4 linked regions of the Coturnix japonica genome follow. The protein of the gene in region 4 purifies or fractionates together with the protein of the main gene of each other region. This does not show direct contact. Links are inferred from orthologs where the notes say so. Each region holds a gene or a part of one and is shown on either strand. Other genes may lie near its edges.

The links.
Region 1: the proteins of EEF1A1 (region 4) and EEF2 fractionate together in Homo sapiens (co-fractionation; 3 studies listed by BioGRID). This does not show direct contact. The link is inferred for Coturnix japonica from reciprocal best matches to the Homo sapiens genes EEF1A1 and EEF2.
Region 2: the proteins of EEF1A1 (region 4) and GAPDH fractionate together in Homo sapiens (co-fractionation; 3 studies listed by BioGRID). This does not show direct contact. The link is inferred for Coturnix japonica from reciprocal best matches to the Homo sapiens genes EEF1A1 and GAPDH.
Region 3: the proteins of EEF1A1 (region 4) and EEF1B2 purify together in Homo sapiens (affinity purification with mass spectrometry; 3 studies listed by BioGRID and IntAct, counting the BioPlex papers as one, with this or other methods). This does not show direct contact. The link is inferred for Coturnix japonica from reciprocal best matches to the Homo sapiens genes EEF1A1 and EEF1B2.

What each region holds. Positions count from the first base shown.
Region 1 is NC_029543.1:792,097-796,265, forward strand, and holds the start of EEF2 (elongation factor 2), read left to right. Parts: upstream 1-1,369; 5' UTR 1,370-1,494; coding exon 1,495-1,497; intron 1,498-2,016; coding exon 2,017-2,231; intron 2,232-3,162; coding exon 3,163-3,344; intron 3,345-3,429; coding exon 3,430-3,641; intron 3,642-4,169. Other genes in the region: E3 SUMO-protein ligase PIAS4, read right to left, coding at 111-137. UniProt on the Homo sapiens protein: Catalyzes the GTP-dependent ribosomal translocation step during translation elongation.
Region 2 is NC_029516.1:69,303,331-69,308,831, forward strand, and holds the start of GAPDH (glyceraldehyde-3-phosphate dehydrogenase), read left to right. Parts: upstream 1-1,981; 5' UTR 1,982-2,105; intron 2,106-2,477; 5' UTR 2,478-2,495; coding exon 2,496-2,518; intron 2,519-3,132; coding exon 3,133-3,232; intron 3,233-3,445; coding exon 3,446-3,552; intron 3,553-3,636; coding exon 3,637-3,727; intron 3,728-3,834; coding exon 3,835-3,950; intron 3,951-4,051; coding exon 4,052-4,133; intron 4,134-4,302; coding exon 4,303-4,454; intron 4,455-4,567; coding exon 4,568-4,646; intron 4,647-4,857; coding exon 4,858-4,941; intron 4,942-5,085; coding exon 5,086-5,183; intron 5,184-5,501. Other genes in the region: C-type natriuretic peptide 2-like, read left to right, coding at 206-466. UniProt on the Homo sapiens protein: Has both glyceraldehyde-3-phosphate dehydrogenase and nitrosylase activities, thereby playing a role in glycolysis and nuclear functions, respectively.
Region 3 is NC_029522.1:11,931,923-11,935,931, forward strand, and holds the end of EEF1B2 (elongation factor 1-beta), read left to right. Parts: intron 1-277; exon of another isoform or gene 278-411; intron 412-648; coding exon 649-774; intron 775-1,174; coding exon 1,175-1,329; 3' UTR 1,330-3,021; downstream 3,022-4,009. UniProt on the Homo sapiens protein: Catalytic subunit of the guanine nucleotide exchange factor (GEF) (eEF1B subcomplex) of the eukaryotic elongation factor 1 complex (eEF1).
Region 4 is NC_029518.1:74,352,149-74,357,511, forward strand, and holds the start of EEF1A1 (elongation factor 1-alpha 1), read left to right. Parts: upstream 1-1,947; 5' UTR 1,948-2,076; intron 2,077-2,821; 5' UTR 2,822-2,868; coding exon 2,869-3,012; intron 3,013-4,027; coding exon 4,028-4,207; intron 4,208-4,336; coding exon 4,337-4,633; intron 4,634-4,897; coding exon 4,898-5,048; intron 5,049-5,190; coding exon 5,191-5,363. UniProt on the Homo sapiens protein: Translation elongation factor that catalyzes the GTP-dependent binding of aminoacyl-tRNA (aa-tRNA) to the A-site of ribosomes during the elongation phase of protein synthesis.

The sequences.
Region 1 (4,169 bases), on a different chromosome or scaffold from region 4:
CGCCCCGCCCGCCGCCGGTTCCGCGCTGTGAGGGGCGGCAGCTGAGCCCTCATCCCGCTCCCGCCCGGCCCGGTCTCTCCGAGCCGCCTCCGCCGCCGCCGTTCACTCACTTTGGCCTCCACCAGCTCCGCCGCCATCTTGGCCTCCAGCGTCCACCGCGCCGGGAGCCGCCGCCGGGTCACGTGACGCCTAGCGGCGAGGGGAGGGGCGCGCGGGAGACGCGTCGACCAATCAATTTCGAGTTCCTCACCTCGGAGGCCGCCGCCGCAACGCGCAGGCGCAATAGAGCCACCCCGCCCCGCTCCGCCTTCCGGGGGTCTTAAAGGGACCGCGCCCCTAAAACGGGACGGAGAGGATGGAGGATGCGGGGATGGAGGGAGGACAGCAGAGCTAATGACAGCTCTCCTGCTTTCTTTTCTTTACCTGTGGGCTGCCTTACATGGGTACGGGGAGAGGGAAGGGGACGGGTTAGGACTGAGGGTCATTATATGCCTATATGTGCTTATAGTCCCAGCTTCTGAGCATGGTGATATTTGTAATGTATTTAGCCTATGGGAGCCGGTGATGGGGATACCTGCCTGGCTGCCTTTCAGCCTAATTGACATCACAGACAGTGTGCTCGGACTGGCTTACCAGTGTCCTGAGTTCCTTACGTATGGCTGGGGTGTCAGGTTGGGTGCTGTGTTGTCAGTCTCTCTGAATACAATCCTAATAACAATAATAATGGGGTCCTAATCCTAATAATAACAATAACACAATGGGGCCAGCAGCGTGTCCCTAAGTTGCAGTGAGGCTCATCAACTAGAAAACATCACTCAAAACCCATCTATTGATAGAGGGATCAGAGGGCTCTATAGATAGAGGAATCTATTGATGTCTCAATAGAAGACCTCCAGTTTTCGAGCTGATATTTGCGCTCCATAACACAGACATCACACTACTTCCATCCCGTGCCTCCATTGCAGCCCCCTGCCCACCCCCGCTCCTCCCGGCCTGCAGGGGGCGCTAGTGAGCTCCATGCCCTCCGCAGTTCCGGCCGGTGCATGCGCACCTAGTCCATAGACGCCGCTATGGGCGGTGCTCGCCCAGCCCGGCCCGGTGCCGCTTTGGACGGCCCAGCGCTCCGGGTAAAGGCGGAGCCGCTCTCGAGGCCTTGAGCAGCGCCCCGGGCACGTTGTCCGGGTTGTACCCGCTGTGACCGCGTTGTTTCCGCTGCGGGTTCTGAGCGGGGACCGCGTGGATCCTGACTGCGGCCCTCGGAGGACCTGACCGCCCGACCATAGAGCTGCCGGCAGCGGGGGGTGCTAGATAGTCGCATCTGCGCACGCGCACGCGTAGGCTCCTCCTTCCGGCCGGCGCCGCCCTATAAAAGGGGGGCGGTTGACGTCAGCGTTCTCTTCCGCCCGCTCTGCGCTCGCCAGCGAGACAGGGCCGCCGCCACCGCCGCCATTGCTGTAACCCCCCGCCCCGGAGAATCCGCCTCCATCCGCCACCATGGTGAGGCCCCGCGTCCCGCCGCCGTTCGGATGGAGCTCAGCGGGTCCCGTGTGGGCTGTGCGGGTGGGGATGTCCGCTCCGGGAGGGCCGGGAGGGTCCCGCTGCGGGGCGAGGCCTAGCGCTGCGTCCCGGGCCGCTGTGAGGGGACACGGGTGGGGCCGGGGCCTGGTGGGGCGCCGTTAACCCGGCGCTCCGTGTATCCCGTAGGGCTTTAATTCCCGGTGCTGTGATGGGGGCCGGGCAGCTCCCGGAGCGATTACGTAACGCTGCGGCTCCTCGGTTTCCCCCTTTAATTAATGAGGGGTGAGGATGGAGGGGGGGCTGCGGTGCATTGAGCGCTGTCAGTGCGGGGGGGTTTGAGGACACATCGCTGGCTGCTGCAGTGCCGGCCCGGCGCTCTGCAGTGCCCTCAGTGCTTCATTCCTTGAGGTTAAACCTGACAGCGCCACGTAGGAAGAAATGGAGCTTTGCTGTTACGTAGCTCGTCTCCCATTCCTCCCTTCTTCCTTTCTTTCCAAGGTGAACTTCACGGTAGATCAGATACGGGCCATCATGGACAAAAAGGCCAACATCAGGAATATGTCAGTGATCGCACACGTCGATCACGGCAAGTCGACCCTGACTGATTCCCTGGTGTGTAAAGCTGGGATCATCGCCTCTGCCCGCGCGGGGGAGACCCGCTTCACTGACACCAGGAAGGACGAGCAGGAACGGTGCATCACCATCAAATCGACGTGAGTGCTGCTCCTTCGGGTGCCCCCCTGTTCCCATCGCACGGACTGACCCTGGGGGTGCTTTGAATCCTACCCTGGTTTCACCTTGAGATGAAGATGATCCCATCAGCCTTTCTCTTGTCTTGTTGTTCAGAGGTTTAGGTTTATTTTTCTTCCCTGCGTGGATTGCTTAAACAAAGGGGCAAGTATTGATTGCCCTGTGGTGAGTCACTGAGCGTTACCTTGATGGCTGCTGGGAGATTGACGTGCTCCTGCAGTGTGACTTTGGCCTCCTGTTTCTGGCACCAGCTGTGTGTAATGGCGCTGGTGGCTGTGAGGTTTGTCTGGTGAGCAGCTGACCTCCTTGGGAGTGTCACTGCCTGCAGGTCCAGCTGCCTCACCATGGACTGATGCTGAGGAGGTGGGAGGGACCAGAAGGGATTTAGGCTGGTGGGAAAAGCAGCTGAGAGGAGGTGCGCTCTATTTGGCAGCTCACGATATCAGGGGGTTATGATTTCAGGGAAGCATAAAAAGCAGAGGTTTTTGTGGATGCTCCTGAGCATCTTCCCCACTCGCCTCTCATGATCATTTCTTCCTGTTATGGGAGGTTTAGGTTGGATCTTAGGAGGATGTTTTTCACCCAGTGGGGGGTGATGCACTGGAACAGGTTGCCCGAGGAGGCTGTGGATGCCCCATCCCTGCAGGCATTCAGGGCCAGGCTGGATGTGGCTGTGGGCAGCCTGGGACCCTACACACAGCAGAGGGTTGGAACTGGATGAGCATTGGGGTCCTTTTCAACCCAGGCCATTCAGTGGTTCATGAAACCCTGGAAGCTGGATGCAGCTGTCTGAAAATAAATAGTAAAGGATACAAGAATGTTTCTAACTGCTTTTGCTTCAGAGTGTTGCAGAGGGGCAATGGGGTGATACTAACAGCTCTTTTTCCCTTTCAGAGCTATTTCTCTGTTCTATGAGCTCTCTGACAACGATCTGGCATTCATCAAGCAGAGCAAGGATGGTTCTGGTTTCTTGATCAACCTGATTGACTCTCCTGGGCACGTGGATTTCTCCTCGGAGGTCACTGCTGCTCTGCGTGTCACTGATGGTGCCCTGGTTGTTGTCGACTGCGTCTCTGGTGAGGTTTTTGCAGCCATGTGTGACTGCAACCTGAGTTGGGTTGATCTGAAGGTGAGGAGAACTAATTGTCCTGTGTTGGGCAGGTGTGTGTGTGCAGACAGAGACTGTGCTGCGTCAGGCCATCGCTGAGAGGATCAAACCTGTCCTGATGATGAACAAGATGGACCGGGCACTGCTGGAGCTGCAGCTGGATCCTGAGGAGCTGTACCAGACCTTCCAGAGGATTGTGGAGAACGTGAACGTCATCATCTCCACGTATGGGGAAGGAGAAAGCGGTCCAATGGGAAACATCATGGTGAGTGAATGGCTGTGGGTGCCCCTTCAGCAGGAGGGAGCAACTGTGTTTGGTAGCAGTGCTTTCCTCCCTCCAGGGGAGGAGTGAGGCTGGAGAAGTGGAGGCACCCATGCAATGAAGAATAGAAACACAAGTGTGCATTCTGTCTAGGAAGGGGTCCTCCTCTTGAAAGGTCTTTCCTTGCTCACCTGACACGGGGCACAGGCCCTGCACTGCATGAGGCTGGATGGCACTTGGGGATGTTGATCCCTTCACTCCCTGCTGGACTCTGAGCTGAGTGCAAGGCCTGTTCAGCTGCAGGTCCTGAGGAAACCTTTGTGCTTTGTTGCTGTTGAGAAACAAACGAATCGTAGATTTTTCTACTGGTGTTTCCATTAAGGATTACAGTCTGACAGGTCTAAGCAGATGTTGAGCCAGTCAGTCCCTCTGGGCAGGTGCTGTCACAGAAGTGCTCAGTGCTTCTGTAGCTCTGAAGCCCCACCTTCAGGCTCTTGGTGGAGGCTTGCAGTGTGTTTGGTTTGCCTGGGC
Region 2 (5,501 bases), on a different chromosome or scaffold from region 4:
TTCTTTGGGCAGCAAAATCACCTCAGGCAGAGTAGCTGCGGGCCATCGGTGTCCTTGGTGTGGATGCAAGGTCACAGGCAGAGGGCTTTCACAGGCACCATTTCACGTCCTGCCCGAGCCTGAGGGACGAAGAGTGGGACAGTGGGTCGGGATATAAGAGCACAGACATTACACCCTCGCCCATCTCCATTTATCCCTCTCTCAGGTGCTCCTTTCCCGCCTGCTGCCCTCGGATTCCGAATCCCTGCCGGCTGATGAGGACATGAAGGAGGGCTCCAGCTCCAGCTCCGAGCCGCAGCCGCTCCTCCTGCCTCGGGCCCGAGCCGCACAGCCCCTGCTGTGGCGCAAGGCCCTCGCCGATCGCAAGCGAGCTCTGTCTGGAGACTGGGCCTGGAAGGCCGCGCCCCGGGGCTGTTTTGGGCTGAAAATGGACCGCATCGGGGCCTTCAGCGGGTTGGGCTGTTAGCCCGGAGAAGCTGGAGGTGAAGGGGGCAGCAGCGAGGGGCCGGCACAGCGGGCAGCGGCTCGCTCGTTGGCAGGCAGAGAGCGGCCGTGTGGAGAGCCGGCCCGGGACGAGACCCAGCTCGGGACGGGACAGGCTGGGGCAGCAGCGGCCGCAGCCCCGCGGGCAGGGCGAGGAGCGGCGGCGCGCGGGGGACTCGCGAATTAAACCGAGCTGTGCGGAGCCTCGTGTCGGAGCTGGCGGCACCGAAGGGCGGCCGGGCCGCGATACCCTCCCCGTGCCTCTCCCCGCCCGCGTCCGCCGGGAGATGGCGGCAGAGCCCGCGGCTCCGCACGGCAACGCGGCCCCCACGCGCGGGGCCATTTTGGGCGCCGCCGCCATTCCGGGTGGGCCGGGCCGCACGCGCGTCCGCGGCCTGGGCCCGAGCCCGGCGCTGGGGGGAGGATGGGCGGCGGGTCCATCGATCTGCGCCCCGGGGCCGCAGCGTTGTTCCGTCCCGCCACACTCTGCCCCTCGGCCGCTGCCGTGTTTGCCGAGCAAACAAGGGGCCTCCGCTCTCCCTGCCGGCCCTGACCCCGCGACGTGCGGGGGGCTCCCCCGGCCCCGCGATCGCAGCCCCCTTCGGGCCGCACCGCCGCCTCCCCTGGCCTTTAAGAAAAGGTCGTAACCTCAAGCCGGGGCTAAACTTAGCCGCTGCCCCTCGGTGCTCCGGGAATGGCAGCCGTACAAGGAGCGTTGGGTTACGGGAGCTGCGTGACCCCCCGCTCGGACCCTCTCCCCCCGGCATCCTCCGTCCCCACCGCTGGAGCCGGGGCCCACCTCACCCCTGCACGCCCCCTCCTCCCGCCGGGCATCCGGCTTCGAGCACCCGCTCCATCGCAGGGGATGGAGGCTATAAACCCAGCACGGCTCCATCCCACGGCCCCTCTTTGGGCCGCACGAGCCCCAGCCGTAACACGTAAGAACCGCTTCTTGCCCACACCCCGGGCCCGGCTGCCAGGCGCAGACGTGCCGGGCTGGGAGAGGGACGGCGGCGGCTCGAGGCGGCGGGAGGATATGAGGATATCCGCTGTCACGGCGCAAGAGATGCTGCAGTTCCTTATTAGCGCGGCCTGAGAGCGCCGGTGTGACAGCGGGTGCGGGACCCCGGCAGCCCGGGGCTGCGTGACCAACACGTGCGAGGGCTGATTATGGCAGCGGGCAGGCTGCGGGCTCGCAGCACGGCGCTCTCTCGGCCGTGCGTGCTGCCATTAATGCAGCCCGCACCCGCCGCACCGCATCGTGCTGCAGCCGCACCCCGCAGCCTCACCCGAGGACACCGACGCGGGGCTTTGTCTGCACCCCCCATCCGAAGGGCACCCCCACTCCGTACAAGCCCCGCAGTGCGGCCCCAACCCCCCGAGCCCACCCTCGACCCAACGGCCGCCCTTTGTTGCGAGGGGGGAGGGGGAGAGAAGCGGGGGGGGGGCTGCCGCTTCACCCGCACCGTGCGTGCACGTAGCCCCGGCCCGGCCCTCGCGCTGCCATTCGGTGCCGGCCCGGCGGGGCGGGGCGCGGGGTGCTGCCGCCGTGTCTATAAAGGGCGGCGGAGCGGCACTGCGCCACCTTCTCACTGCGCGCCGGGGCCGTTGACTAGGAGCAGGTAACGGGCGGGGGGCACGGGGGCGGAGGAACGGCTCCCCCCACCCCTACCCACCCACCCACCCAGCCGGCCGCCCTCCCGTCTGCTTGAGCCCCTCGTAGGGTCGGGGCCGTCGGACCGCGAGGAGTGCGGCGGGGGGAGGGGGCTGTGCAGGACCGCGTGGTGCCCGGGGCACAAAGGCGGGGGCGGGCGGCGTAAGATGGAGGCGGTGGGGGTGGGGGGAGAGGTGCGGGGGGCACAGCTCGGTGGGGATGGAGGGAGGGAGGGATGGCGGGTGGGGGGGCGGCTCCCGGTGCGTGCGGTGGGGGGGTGTTATGGGGCGGGCGGGCTGCGTGCGGTACCGCACGTCTGAGCGTTGGCGTGTCCCCGCAGGTACACTATAAGGGAGAGATGGTGAAAGTCGGAGTCAACGGGTGAGTGAGTGCGGAGCCGGGACGGGAGGCGCCGGGCGGGGCGGGCGGGGATGTACGTGCCCGTGGGGGGGGGGAGGACGACACGAGACAAGGTCGCCTGAAGGGCGGGGGGCCCCGCGGCGCCGCGGAGAGACCCCCCCATCCTCCAACCCCCAACCGGGAGTAACGGCCCCGTGGGGCGGTGCTGAGTCACTTCCCCGCACGGTCGGGGTGAGTCACCCCGGAAGCGCCGGTGCTGCCCGCGTGCCCCGTCGGGGGCTCTGCCCGCACTAATGGGGCTCCCCGGGGCAGTGGGTACCCGAGGAAAGGTCGCCCGGTGGATCGTGTGTCGGCCGTGCCCCGGGAACGTGACCTTCTCCCACCGCACCGAGGAGTAACCGGATCCCCGGGGCCCTCAGTAAATTTAGCGCCTGACCTTTGTGGTGTGGGTGCCCTGCCCGGGGGTCGCTCTTAATCTTTAACCACGGCTCCTCGGCCTTTGGCCGCTGCTGTTGGATTCCATTCAGGCAGCGACTGACAGATGCTCTGGGGGGAAGTAGCAGATAGGCTCAGCCGTGCCTTACCAAGCATGTTCCTCAGTGCTCCTCCTCACCCACCTCTCTGTTTCTCCCCAGATTTGGCCGTATTGGCCGCCTGGTCACCAGGGCTGCTGTCCTTTCTGGCAAAGTCCAAGTGGTTGCTATCAATGATCCCTTCATCGATCTGAACTACATGGTGAGTTGTCTTGCAGTGCCCCCTCTGGGCGATGCGTGCACCTTCAGCGGGGCTCCCCTTGGAAACCTGGCATAGGTTAAGAGAGAAATGAGATGTAGTGATGCAAAGCTGGGCAGAGCAAAATACAGAGCAGCAGTTAGACAAGATGGCTGGTATTGTAGTGGGAGCTTTGCATCTAGGATGCCTGACCCTTCTCTTTTCTCTCCCTGCTAGGTTTACATGTTCAAATATGATTCTACACACGGACACTTCAAGGGCACTGTCAAGGCTGAGAACGGGAAACTTGTGATCAATGGGAACGCCATCACTATCTTCCAGGAGTGAGTAGCTTTCTTCTCTCGCTGCTCCAGAGAATGAAAGTAAGTGCCCTCCAGAGTAACTCCCATGGTTTTGTCCCCTCTCAGGCGTGACCCCAGCAACATCAAGTGGGGAGATGCTGGTGCTGAGTATGTTGTGGAGTCCACTGGTGTCTTCACCACCATGGAGAAGGCTGGGGTATGTAGGCTGCTGTGGCCCATGGGAAAAGGTGCTCTGAGGATTGTATTCCTTCTCAACTGTTGGGCCGTTCTGGGTAATTTAATCTTTCCTTTTTTGTTTTTCAGGCTCATCTGAAGGGTGGTGCTAAGCGTGTTATTATCTCAGCCCCCTCAGCTGATGCTCCCATGTTCGTGATGGGTGTCAACCATGAGAAATATGATAAGTCCCTGAAAATTGTTAGGTAAGGGAGAAGAATGCTCCCTGGCCTGGAATTTTCTTCGGGTCTTGTTGCACGTATATACATGTGTTGTACTTGGCTGATGTGCCTTCTTTCTCCCCCAGCAATGCTTCATGCACCACCAACTGTCTGGCACCATTGGCCAAGGTCATCCATGACAACTTTGGCATTGTGGAGGGTCTTATGGTAGGTCTGGAGCTTGATGCTCAGTAAGATACCCTGCCCCCAGGTCCTCCATGTGTGGGGGAAAAAAGCATTCACACACAGTGCTTCCATTGGGCTTGGGAGGAAGTGCTGGGGGTGCTTTCTCTGGGGAAAGTGACTGCTTTCTTACTTCTGGGCCTTCTTTCCACAGACCACTGTGCACGCCATCACAGCCACACAGAAGACTGTGGACGGCCCCTCTGGGAAGTTGTGGAGGGATGGCAGAGGTGCTGCCCAGAACATCATCCCAGCATCCACTGGGGCTGCTAAGGCTGTGGGGAAGGTCATCCCTGAGCTCAATGGGTGAGCGTCCTCTTTCTGTGTCTGATGGGGGGCAGGAGCCAGTGTGTGGCTGGCTCAAACACTTTTGTGGTAGAACATGCTTACACTGTTCTTTGCTGACATATCTCTTGCAGGAAGCTTACTGGAATGGCTTTCCGTGTGCCAACCCCCAATGTCTCTGTTGTTGACCTGACCTGCCGTCTGGAGAAACCAGTAAGTGCTGTGGACAAGACTGAAGAATCTTCAGGCCTGCCTCTAAAATTACTTCCTTCAACATCAATCTATTTAATAGAAAAATCTTGGTTTTGCTGAAAATAGCACCTAATGTGCATGGCTAGTGCTATGCAGTTCCCAGTGTCTGGGCTGTAGCTGACACTTAGAGATGAGATTTGACCTGACCATCTTTACTTCTGCCTTTTTTTAGGCCAAATATGATGACATCAAGAGGGTAGTGAAGGCTGCTGCTGAGGGGCCCTTGAAGGGCATCCTAGGATACACAGAGGACCAGGTAAATAGTTGCTACGTAGGTGTCACTTGCCTCATTGTTCTGATGGTGGCAGCCTTGCTGGGGTGATGTTTTTGACGCTTCTGGTTCAGGCTGTTACCATCTTATTGGGTGGAAGAGTGCTTGACGGTTCTTCCTCTGTTCCAGGTTGTCTCCTGTGACTTCAATGGTGACAGCCATTCTTCCACCTTTGATGCGGGTGCTGGCATTGCACTGAATGACAACTTCGTCAAGCTTGTTTCCTGGTATGCTCAGCCTCGGGGTGTGGGGGAGACTGGGAGGGTAGAGACGAGCAGTTCTGGTGCAGTTCTGTGCTGTTTCATTTTGTCAGCACCATCTGGCAGTGCATGGCAGCACAGGGTTCAGGTGGCTTCAGCATGTGACGGTCTCTAGTGAGATGGCTTCGTATCTGAAATGGCTGCAGCTGCCTTCCTGTAATGGAGGGCAGATGGGATGCTGCCTGTTTGCTTCATAAGGATTGGATGGGAAGCCTTGCCACTTGGTTATATGGGCTGAGGCTGGAAGAGCAGTAACATGAAGAGGGATACGAGGAGCTGGATCAG
Region 3 (4,009 bases), on a different chromosome or scaffold from region 4:
AGCAGAAGTGGTTTGCTTTACTTGAGTTCTGTGAGCTTAACCTTTCCTATAGCAAATCATTGAACATTAGCATGCTTTTTGTCCTGCCTATTCTCCTTTTGTCTTACCAAAGGAGCAAGCTTTTTCACTACAAAAAGAGAACCCTAGGGTTTTCTTGAAATAAAACAGATGCAAAGTAGTATAAAACACATCTGTGTAAGAACTCCAGCAGACTGACCTAAGGAGGCCGATCAGTAGTTGGTGAGTTAAGAGAGGAAAGGCTCTTGCATGCAGGTCCCTCCACAGTTACTGGCCTGAAACTGTTCAGGACTGTAGCAGTTGCAGTATTCCCTCTGTGGAAGACAAACTGTTACGTAGTATTAAGCACCTTCTCAGATCCTCTAAGAAGGACTTTCTACGTAACAAACAATGTTAGCTTATGTTCTCTTTTCAAAGTGTTTTTCAAAAACAGGCATCTACATCTTAAACATCAGGATATATATTTTCAGACCCCTTAAAAATGCATGTTGGTACAAGAGGACTGAGTTATGAGGGGTTTTTTTGTTTTTTTTTTTTTTAAGTCGTGTGAAGTTATTTGTAAGTATATTCTTGAGTTCCTGAAAGTTTCCTAGCTGTTAATGGTGTCTTTCCTCCTTTTTTTTCCCTTAGAACCAGCTGTTGTTGCCAAATCATCGATCTTGCTTGATGTGAAACCTTGGGATGATGAGACAGACATGGCCAAATTAGAGGAGTGTGTTCGAAGCATTCAAGCAGATGGCTTGGTCTGGGGGTCTTGTAAGTAAAATTCTAAGTGGGGAAAAGGGTGATCACGTGATCTGTTGGGGTGCTGTATGAATAAGTAGCCTTAGGATTACTGTTTGTCCATCTGTGATAATGTAGGTAGCTAAAATAGTGAGTTAACTGCCATGTTACATAGAGTATGTATAGTGTGAGCTGTGCGTGTGTGGTGTTTGGTGGACTAGCACCCACTAAATAGCAAACTGATAGGTGTTCTTTGCATAATTTCACAAGAGTGATGATTTAAAAAGGGCTTAGTCAGAAAGCTGCTAGGGCAGCAGCAAGGCTAAGATTCAAAGAAACACCTTTTAGGCCAACTCCATTAATGCTATCAGCTGCTTACATCTTTCCATTTTCAAGTGAGGAGTGTGTAATGCTTTTTTGTTTTGTTTTGCAGCCAAGCTAGTACCAGTTGGTTACGGTATCAAAAAGCTTCAGATTCAGTGTGTTGTTGAAGATGATAAAGTTGGAACAGACATGTTGGAAGAAAGAATAACAGCTTTTGAAGATTACGTACAATCAATGGATGTAGCTGCTTTCAACAAGATCTGAGTCTTCATATATTTAGAATAAAAATAATTGCAAAAATTGGGCCATGTCTGTCATTAATTCAAAGTCATAGTGCAATCCAGTTTGTTAATGTAAAATTTGACTGATGGGTAAAGTAAAAGCTAATCAATTGGCTTTTAGGATTGTTCCAGCGCTGTGGTATTTAGTGCCAGAGCAAAGAGAGAGCTGACAGTTGCCATATGTCTAGGCTTAACATTTACATGGCTTTAAATATCTGAAATGCCTTTTCCTCTATTTTAAGTGGAGTTGCATCTTTGGCTACTTGTAATTAATCTGGCAGGAGAGGTGGCTTTCAGGGAGAAGCACAGGGCTGTAGCACTTTAAGAGAAATAGAAGTTTTGTATAGAAAGGATGATGAGTAACCAAATAGTTGTATGGTGGCTTTATTCTTCTGACAGCTGCAGTTCAACTGTCACTTAGGAATGAAGACAAAGATAAGGCAGTTTATAGCAATGAGGACTGCAGAGCATTGGAGATTGTGAAGTGTACTTAATGTGACTGAGACTGCCAGGGTAACTTCTCACCATCTCCTATTGTGTGAACCTGAGATTTTTTTTCTCCTAAAGTGTTTAAAAAATAGAAATAACCTCAAGTTTGGCTTTTTTTGTGTGTGTGTGGGGGGGAGAGGAGGGACGTGTCTTACTCAGTACTGCATAATTCCTGCTTCAAGACCAAGGCCTTGGTGTGCCTTGAACTGCAGGCCAGCATTGGTTTTTAACCTTGAGTAGCAGGATCGAGATCCTTGAGGTGCAATTAAGGTACAGTTCACTAGAGGGCGGTGTGTTCCTTCAAGAAGACCGAGGCATTGGAGGTCTAACGGTGCCATGTGCTTGAGTGAGGTTTAATGGGGCGCAGTGGCTACAGTTAATGCAGGCGGATAGTACTTTGTTACTCTGTTAAAATACAGCTTGCTACAGTGTCACCGTGTATCTTAGAGTGTATGTAACCTGTAACAAGACCAATAGTAGGTTTGAGATCTTAAATATAGTCTTCCCATGCTCCTACATGACTATAAAGATCTCAAACCTACTATTGATCTTGTTGTGCCTCTTTTTGAGAAGGGCTGCCAGTTGCCACTCTATTGTTAAAGCAACAGGGTTTTAAGGAGACTGTCAGAAACACTTGAGTGCAATCTGAACAAGAACAAGCATTATGAAGCAGGGAAGAACAGAATCTGCTGCAGTTGAATTTTGTTGGTTTTTTTCTCAGCAGTATCTCATAGGAAAATCAGAGTGCCTTTTTTTCATCGTAGAGCTTTGAATGAGCATTCTTCTGTCCAAGCAGTGTAGGAGAGTAATTGGGCTTTTTCAGTTATTCTATGGAAATGGAAACCAAGGATGCTGTCTGTTCTGATTAGGTATCTTCATTCCACTTGCAGAAATGAGTTGGATGGTGGCAACTATGTTGCTGATGTTGGTATGAAGGAGGTAGCAATCACCTTACAAAGTTGGTAGGCCATTTTTTTCCACAGACCAGGACTGATGTTGGCCAGATTCTTTATTATCTAGGGGAGGCTTTTGGTTAAGGTGGTGGTTAAATGTTGGCAGTGTTTTGTTGCTTTTTTTAATCCAGAGGGGTAATCCAAGCAAAGCTTTGTAGAGCATTTTCTGACGATGTACACAAGACAAAGCAAATGTAAAATCTTCTTCTTTGAAAATAAAGCTCGTTACTGTGTGTATTTGTCCTCATATACCTAATGTGCATGAAGAAAACTGAATAAACTTTAATTCCTGTGACACAAAGGTCAGGGTTTTCTTTCATCTTTCAGGAACGTCAGTATGGTGCTGTTCTGTGAACAGTCACAGCTTAGTTGCTGCTGAGAAAAGTAAATGAATGTGTTCTTCAGGGCTAATAGAAATTTATTACTCCACTTGGAGCACAGTCAGGAAAGGAAGCATTAAAACACATCATTCTTAGAAAGATGTCAAGGAACATTTTTTTTATATATATAGTGGGCTGGAGTGAAATATACTTATACTATAAGGAACCTCCCCCTCCCTTCCAAATAGTTTAAAGATATACACTGCTACAAATTATTTCAGAGTTATTTGTCCATGAAGTAACTAGGGTAAGTGTATGTTATTCCAATCCATTATGCATCTTAACTTTATAGTAGGCTTGACCTTTTGTTTTTATGACACAAGGTGACTATTTGTGTTCACCCCTTCTGAAAGCTGCCAGGACTCCTGCACCAGTGCCAACCCACAAGGCTGACCCCTGTGGATGCACCACTTGTATACGTGTAACTCTTTTCCCTCAACTAACAGGTAGGTCTTGGCAGATTGTGTTACATTCTGAAATGAACATTCTTAAATGAACATACATAGCGCAGCCTCACACAGTCTGTGCCCAATAACGTGTTACCTTTACAGAAACAAGAGTCTGGAAGCAGTTAAAAGCACTGTTTGTAATTCATCTGTAGCTGTCAGGAAACTTTGCTTTCTAGACAGAGAGGAGATGGGTAACTTGAGGCAAGCATGGCTTCTCTTTTCTTTGACCTGCCAGAAACTGTGACCAGTGCATTAAGCTGTTAATTATGAAGTTGCACTTCTAACAGTCAAGGGGAGGACTGGAAAGAAAATCCTTGAGAGGCAATAGCATTTGCAGACAGCTTTAAGGGGCTGCATGAGTAGGAAATATTGGCTTTGTTTTTTTGTTTCCA
Region 4 (5,363 bases):
GATTCTTGCACTTCAGGTGTGTAACCCACCTATTTCTGCTGGGTTTAATAAGCACTGCTTCAAAGCCTGAATGATGGGGCATTCTGGAGATCTTATATCTGCTGCTTCATCAGCTTTTCATATCAAAGAGATTCGTTTTGCCATATTAGCAACATTTTTAATTCCTTCGAGGTTATTTGCATACGGGCTTTTGGCCTGTGTTAGCTGAGAGGATAGTTCAGAAGGCATTCGCACCGAACAATGTGAGGATACTCACATATCTGAAGGTCCCCAGCTGTATAAATATTTACAGGATTGATAATAGGAATGTTCTGCTAATAGAATGGAGGAAAGATGCGCCAGTTATCGAGAGAATAAAAGCATCTATTTGATTGTAGAGGAAATGGTAAAAACTCCTTTGAAAATCCAATTAAAGAAGCACGGGGAAAGGAACGACTGCTGAAGACTTAACTAGGGCATGGTTAGAAGGTTATCCAACAACTCGGCAGGCTTTCAGCTGTGAATATACCAACGAAACTGCTGTCCTAAGAAATGCATGCTTCCATATGCCTTTATTTATGGAAGCCTTTTAAATACATCCCATAACTGTGCAGTTTCTTATGGGCCGCGTAAGAAATCAGTAACACATTTCCTTTCTCCTCCCCCTGCTGAGGTGCAAGTGGCTGAATGTTTTCAACTATGCTTTAGCAGAACAGATACTTGGACAAACTTATCCATCTAAAAACACCCCCACTGACAGGCATTGCAGAAGCTAAACTAGAAACCATCCTGTAGAATAAAGCTTCGTGGACATGTTTACAGCCTTGGTTTTACAGATGTGGTGTGCTCAGCTTTCTTACTAGTTATTGACCCTTACTCCTCAGCCTGAGCCATGAAAAGTCACTTAATGAAGATGCTGGTACTCTGCCTTCATAGCAAATGCCTTCAGTGATTTAACACCTAGATGTGAGCTATAGTTATATATTGGTGGGTATGGCCCGCGGTGCTGGAGTTCAAGGAGCATTTGGATGCTGCTCTCAGACGTGTGGAGCCAGGAGTGGGACGCGGTGATCCCTGGGGCTGCCTTCCAACTCAGCATGTTCTGTGGAGCCCCTGCCAACAATTGAATGGGATTACAGTTGAGTACACGTAAGTAACTGTAACATGGGTGCATTACATTCTCTTAGAAGAAGAAAACAGATCCTTTTAACCCAGACTGCCCAGGGAGGTTGTGGATGCCCCGTCCTTGGAGGTGTTCAAGGCCAGGATGGATGGGGCCCTGGGCAACCTGATCTAGTAAATGTGTATGTTTGGTGGCCCTGCCAGGCAGGGGGTGATCCTTGAGGTCCCTTCCAAACCAGGTCGTTCTGTGATTAAAGGAATAAAGTATTTGTTTCCCTTCTGGGGTTAATTTCCCACTAGAAAGCCATACAGGTGTTTTACACGAGTACACCCTGCTGGAATCACGAGGGCTTTCAGTGCTGGTGCCCCCGTTTCAGAAGCCAAAGGCTGGGGCTGCCAGCACCTTTGGTGACTCTCATGGGGCACCTGTCAGCCGGGAATGTACGGCATGGGGGCACTCGGGGCAGTTTGGAGCTCTCAAGCAGAAGCCCCGAATTGATGCTGAAGCGAATCTCCTTGGCCCTGTGTGAAACGCGAGGCCACCGGGGATCTCTGCTAGTCTGCAAGTTCCCACCCCGCAGCTCGCTGTCCGCGTCCCCTCGGGCCGCAGTCTCGGGCCTGAGGCGGAGCTCGGCGACTCTATGGCTGCCGTGCCGAGGGGGAGGCGGCGGAGCGGCACCTCCATCCCGGCTGGCCGCGCTCCAGGCGATGCCGTTCAGCATTGGGGCAGCGAGTCCCGACCGGCCGCCACTCGGCCCGGCTCCCCCGGGGCTGGGATCCGCACCCCGCCCCTCCCCGCCGCCCCCAGGGGAGCACGGCGTGCGGCGCTGCCGGGCGGGGCTTAGCGCGGGGCTTAGCGCTGGGCCCGCCGGGAGCCGTGACGCGGCGCCGAGGCCCCGCCCCGTGGCAGGGTATATAAGGGGCGGCGCTCACGCCGTCGTTCTTTTCCGCTCCGGGTTTGCCGACGCCGTGCGGGTGAGGAGCGTGCGGCGGGGCGGGCCGGGCCCGGGGGTGGGGGGAGCGGGGATGCTGGGGGTGCGTGGATGTACCGTGAGCGGGGGGTTGAGGCGCCGCCGTGCAGCGGTGCGTGGGGATGGCGGAGCGGGGGGATGGCGAGATAAGGGGCGGATGGGGGAAGCGGGGCGAGCGGCGGCGTAACGCCGACGTGTCCCATCCGAGGGCTCACGCGAGGCAGCGCCGCGATGAGCACATGGGGCCGCACCGCCGCTTCGGCTTCTTGCGGAGCCGCCTGGCGCTGCTGTGCGGCGTGCGGTGCTCGGCCGTACGCGGGTGGCGGCCGGGGATGGCGGGGCCGCGCCGTCGGTGTGGGCGATGGGGGAAGGGAAGGCCGGGGCACGAGAAAAAAAATGGCCGCCCGCTCTTCCTGCCGCCGTCAGCTCACAAAATGGAGGACGGCGGCCCGGGCGGGGTGAGTCACACACAAAGGAGAGGGGCGGCCCCGCCCTCCGCGCCGCCCCGCGCCGCCGCCCCAGCACGGCCCGGCCCGGCCGCCATGCGGGGAGGGGGCGACGGAGGAGGGGGGCGAGCCGGAGGGGACACGGGCCGCCAACACCGCCCGCCTCTCCCCGCTGCTCGACTCCCCCCTCCCATCCCCCGGTGGGGCGGGGCCGAGCCTACACGGGCCCTCTGCCCCCTGCGGGCGGCGCTGCTGCGGGACGGGGGCGGCCGCTGTAACCGGGATTCCTTCTGGAACTTTCAGGTGTCGTTTCTCTTTGGCCGGAAGAAAGAAGCTAAAGACCATCCGAAATGGGAAAGGAGAAGACTCACATTAACATCGTCGTCATCGGCCACGTCGATTCCGGCAAGTCCACCACCACCGGGCACCTCATCTACAAATGTGGTGGCATCGACAAGAGGACCATCGAGAAGTTCGAGAAGGAGGCGGCCGAGGTGTGTGAGGCAGCCGTGTGGTGGGAGACTGGGGGGAATAAGGGGCAAAAGGAAGGAAACCAGAACGTTTTACTACCACAAGGAGGCGGTTGGGTCGAGATTGTCCTGGTAATTGAACTAGAGTACTCAATCTGTTATGTTAAGGTGAAGTCATCGAAGCATAGAATAAAGAGCATGAAGCTAAATCTGAACGCTTAGAATCAAAATGGGAGCTCCCATCTTCATTCTCGGCCTGGATTGAGAATTACAGAATCGTTAATGTTGGAGAAGACCTTGAAACTCCAACTATCAGCCCATCCCCACCATGGCCACTAACCATGTCCCTCAGTGCCACGTCAGCAGGTTTCTTGGACACTTCAAGGGTAGTGACTCCACCATCTCTGTGCACAGCCTGTTTCAATGCATTGCTGCTCTTATGGAGTAGGAATTACTCCTAATATCCAATCTGGACCTCCCCTGGCACAGCTTTAGACTGTTGTCTCATGTCATCTTGTAGTTTAGTTGAAAATGTAATGATCAGCCTTGTCTCAAGGTGGGAGAGTCTAAGGTACCATTATGTGAACCTGTGGAAGTATTCCAGTTTTCCTTTGTTTTGTTTTAGTGATAAAATAGCACCTCGTAAGCACATGATAAAAGGAAATGCAGTGAATGCTGGGCTGTGTGGCTGTTAAAATACCAACTGGAGCAGGGATGGCATTAGTAACTAAGCTAAAATTTGTAGTGGACACTTGATAGTAGGACTAAGCCTTAAGAGATCCATCATAAAGATGTGTTAGCACAATTAACAAGTTGTCAAGAGGGCTGAAGTGTCAGCAGGTTAAATGACAGAGCAGTTGGCATATCTTGGTAGTAGTGCCAAGTGAACCTAGGCCAGAGTTTTATGAGCAACAGCAGCTTTCAGTGTAAGTCACTCCCTATTAATAACTTTGCTCGTTAGTGTGTATTTCATGGTCTTGGTGAGGTAAATGAAAATATATATCTTGAGGGGTTTTTTTTTCCTGTTTCAAACCCATAGATGGGCAAAGGTTCCTTCAAATACGCCTGGGTCTTGGACAAGCTCAAGGCTGAGCGTGAGCGTGGTATCACTATTGATATTTCCCTGTGGAAATTTGAAACAAGCAAGTACTACGTCACCATCATCGACGCTCCTGGACACAGAGACTTCATTAAGAACATGATCACTGGAACTTCTCAGGTAAGGAAATAAAGGATGTGGGGAGTTGAGGGAAGCTGCTCCTTGGCTGGTTTACAGCAGGGAAATTGCCCATGTGCTTTAGTGTGCGTGTAGGCTTTCTAACAAGGGCTTTTTTCTACCTTTTCAAAGGCTGATTGTGCTGTCCTGATTGTTGCTGCTGGTGTTGGTGAGTTCGAGGCCGGTATTTCCAAGAACGGGCAGACCCGCGAGCACGCTCTTCTGGCCTACACCCTGGGTGTGAAACAGCTGATCGTTGGTGTTAACAAGATGGATTCCACTGAGCCCGCTTACAGCCAGAAGAGATACGAAGAGATCGTCAAGGAAGTCAGCACTTACATCAAGAAAATTGGCTACAACCCAGACACTGTAGCTTTTGTGCCAATCTCTGGTTGGAACGGGGACAACATGCTGGAGCCCAGCTCTAACGTAGGTTTCCCTGTTTTCCTTTTTAATATTAGGAAATGGAACTAGCAGGATCATTAAGATAAGTTAAACAATAGTTAAATACGTGGGTTTGGGTTTTTTCAGTAGTAGTATTTTGAAATGTTGGGGTCAGTGTGAAATCCTAGTGCTTTATGAATTGTTATTCTGCAGTAATGAAGATGATGCAAGGAGTTAGGCCAGTTGTTTCATAGCTTCGTTCTATTAACATGGGCAGATGACTGACGGTTGGGGGCTGTTTTGTTACAGATGCCCTGGTTCAAGGGATGGAAGGTTACCCGCAAAGACGGCAATGCCAGTGGAACCACCCTCCTGGAAGCCTTGGACTGCATCCTGCCTCCAACTCGTCCAACTGACAAACCTCTGCGTCTGCCTCTTCAAGATGTCTACAAAATTGGTGGTATGTGTTCACCACAGTGCTTGTGTATGGGACAGAATTGCTAGTGTTTGCTTGGGAACTTGAGTGTGAAACTCCTGCCTGAAATGTTTTTCTCTGTAAGCATATACTGGACTTAACTGGCTTTCTGTGTTCACTTCTGTAGGCATTGGTACTGTACCAGTTGGCCGTGTGGAAACTGGTGTCCTGAAGCCAGGCATGGTTGTCACATTTGCCCCCGTTAATGTTACAACTGAAGTAAAATCTGTTGAGATGCACCATGAGGCCCTTAGCGAAGCTCTGCCTGGTGATAACGTTGGTTTCAACGTTAAGAACGTG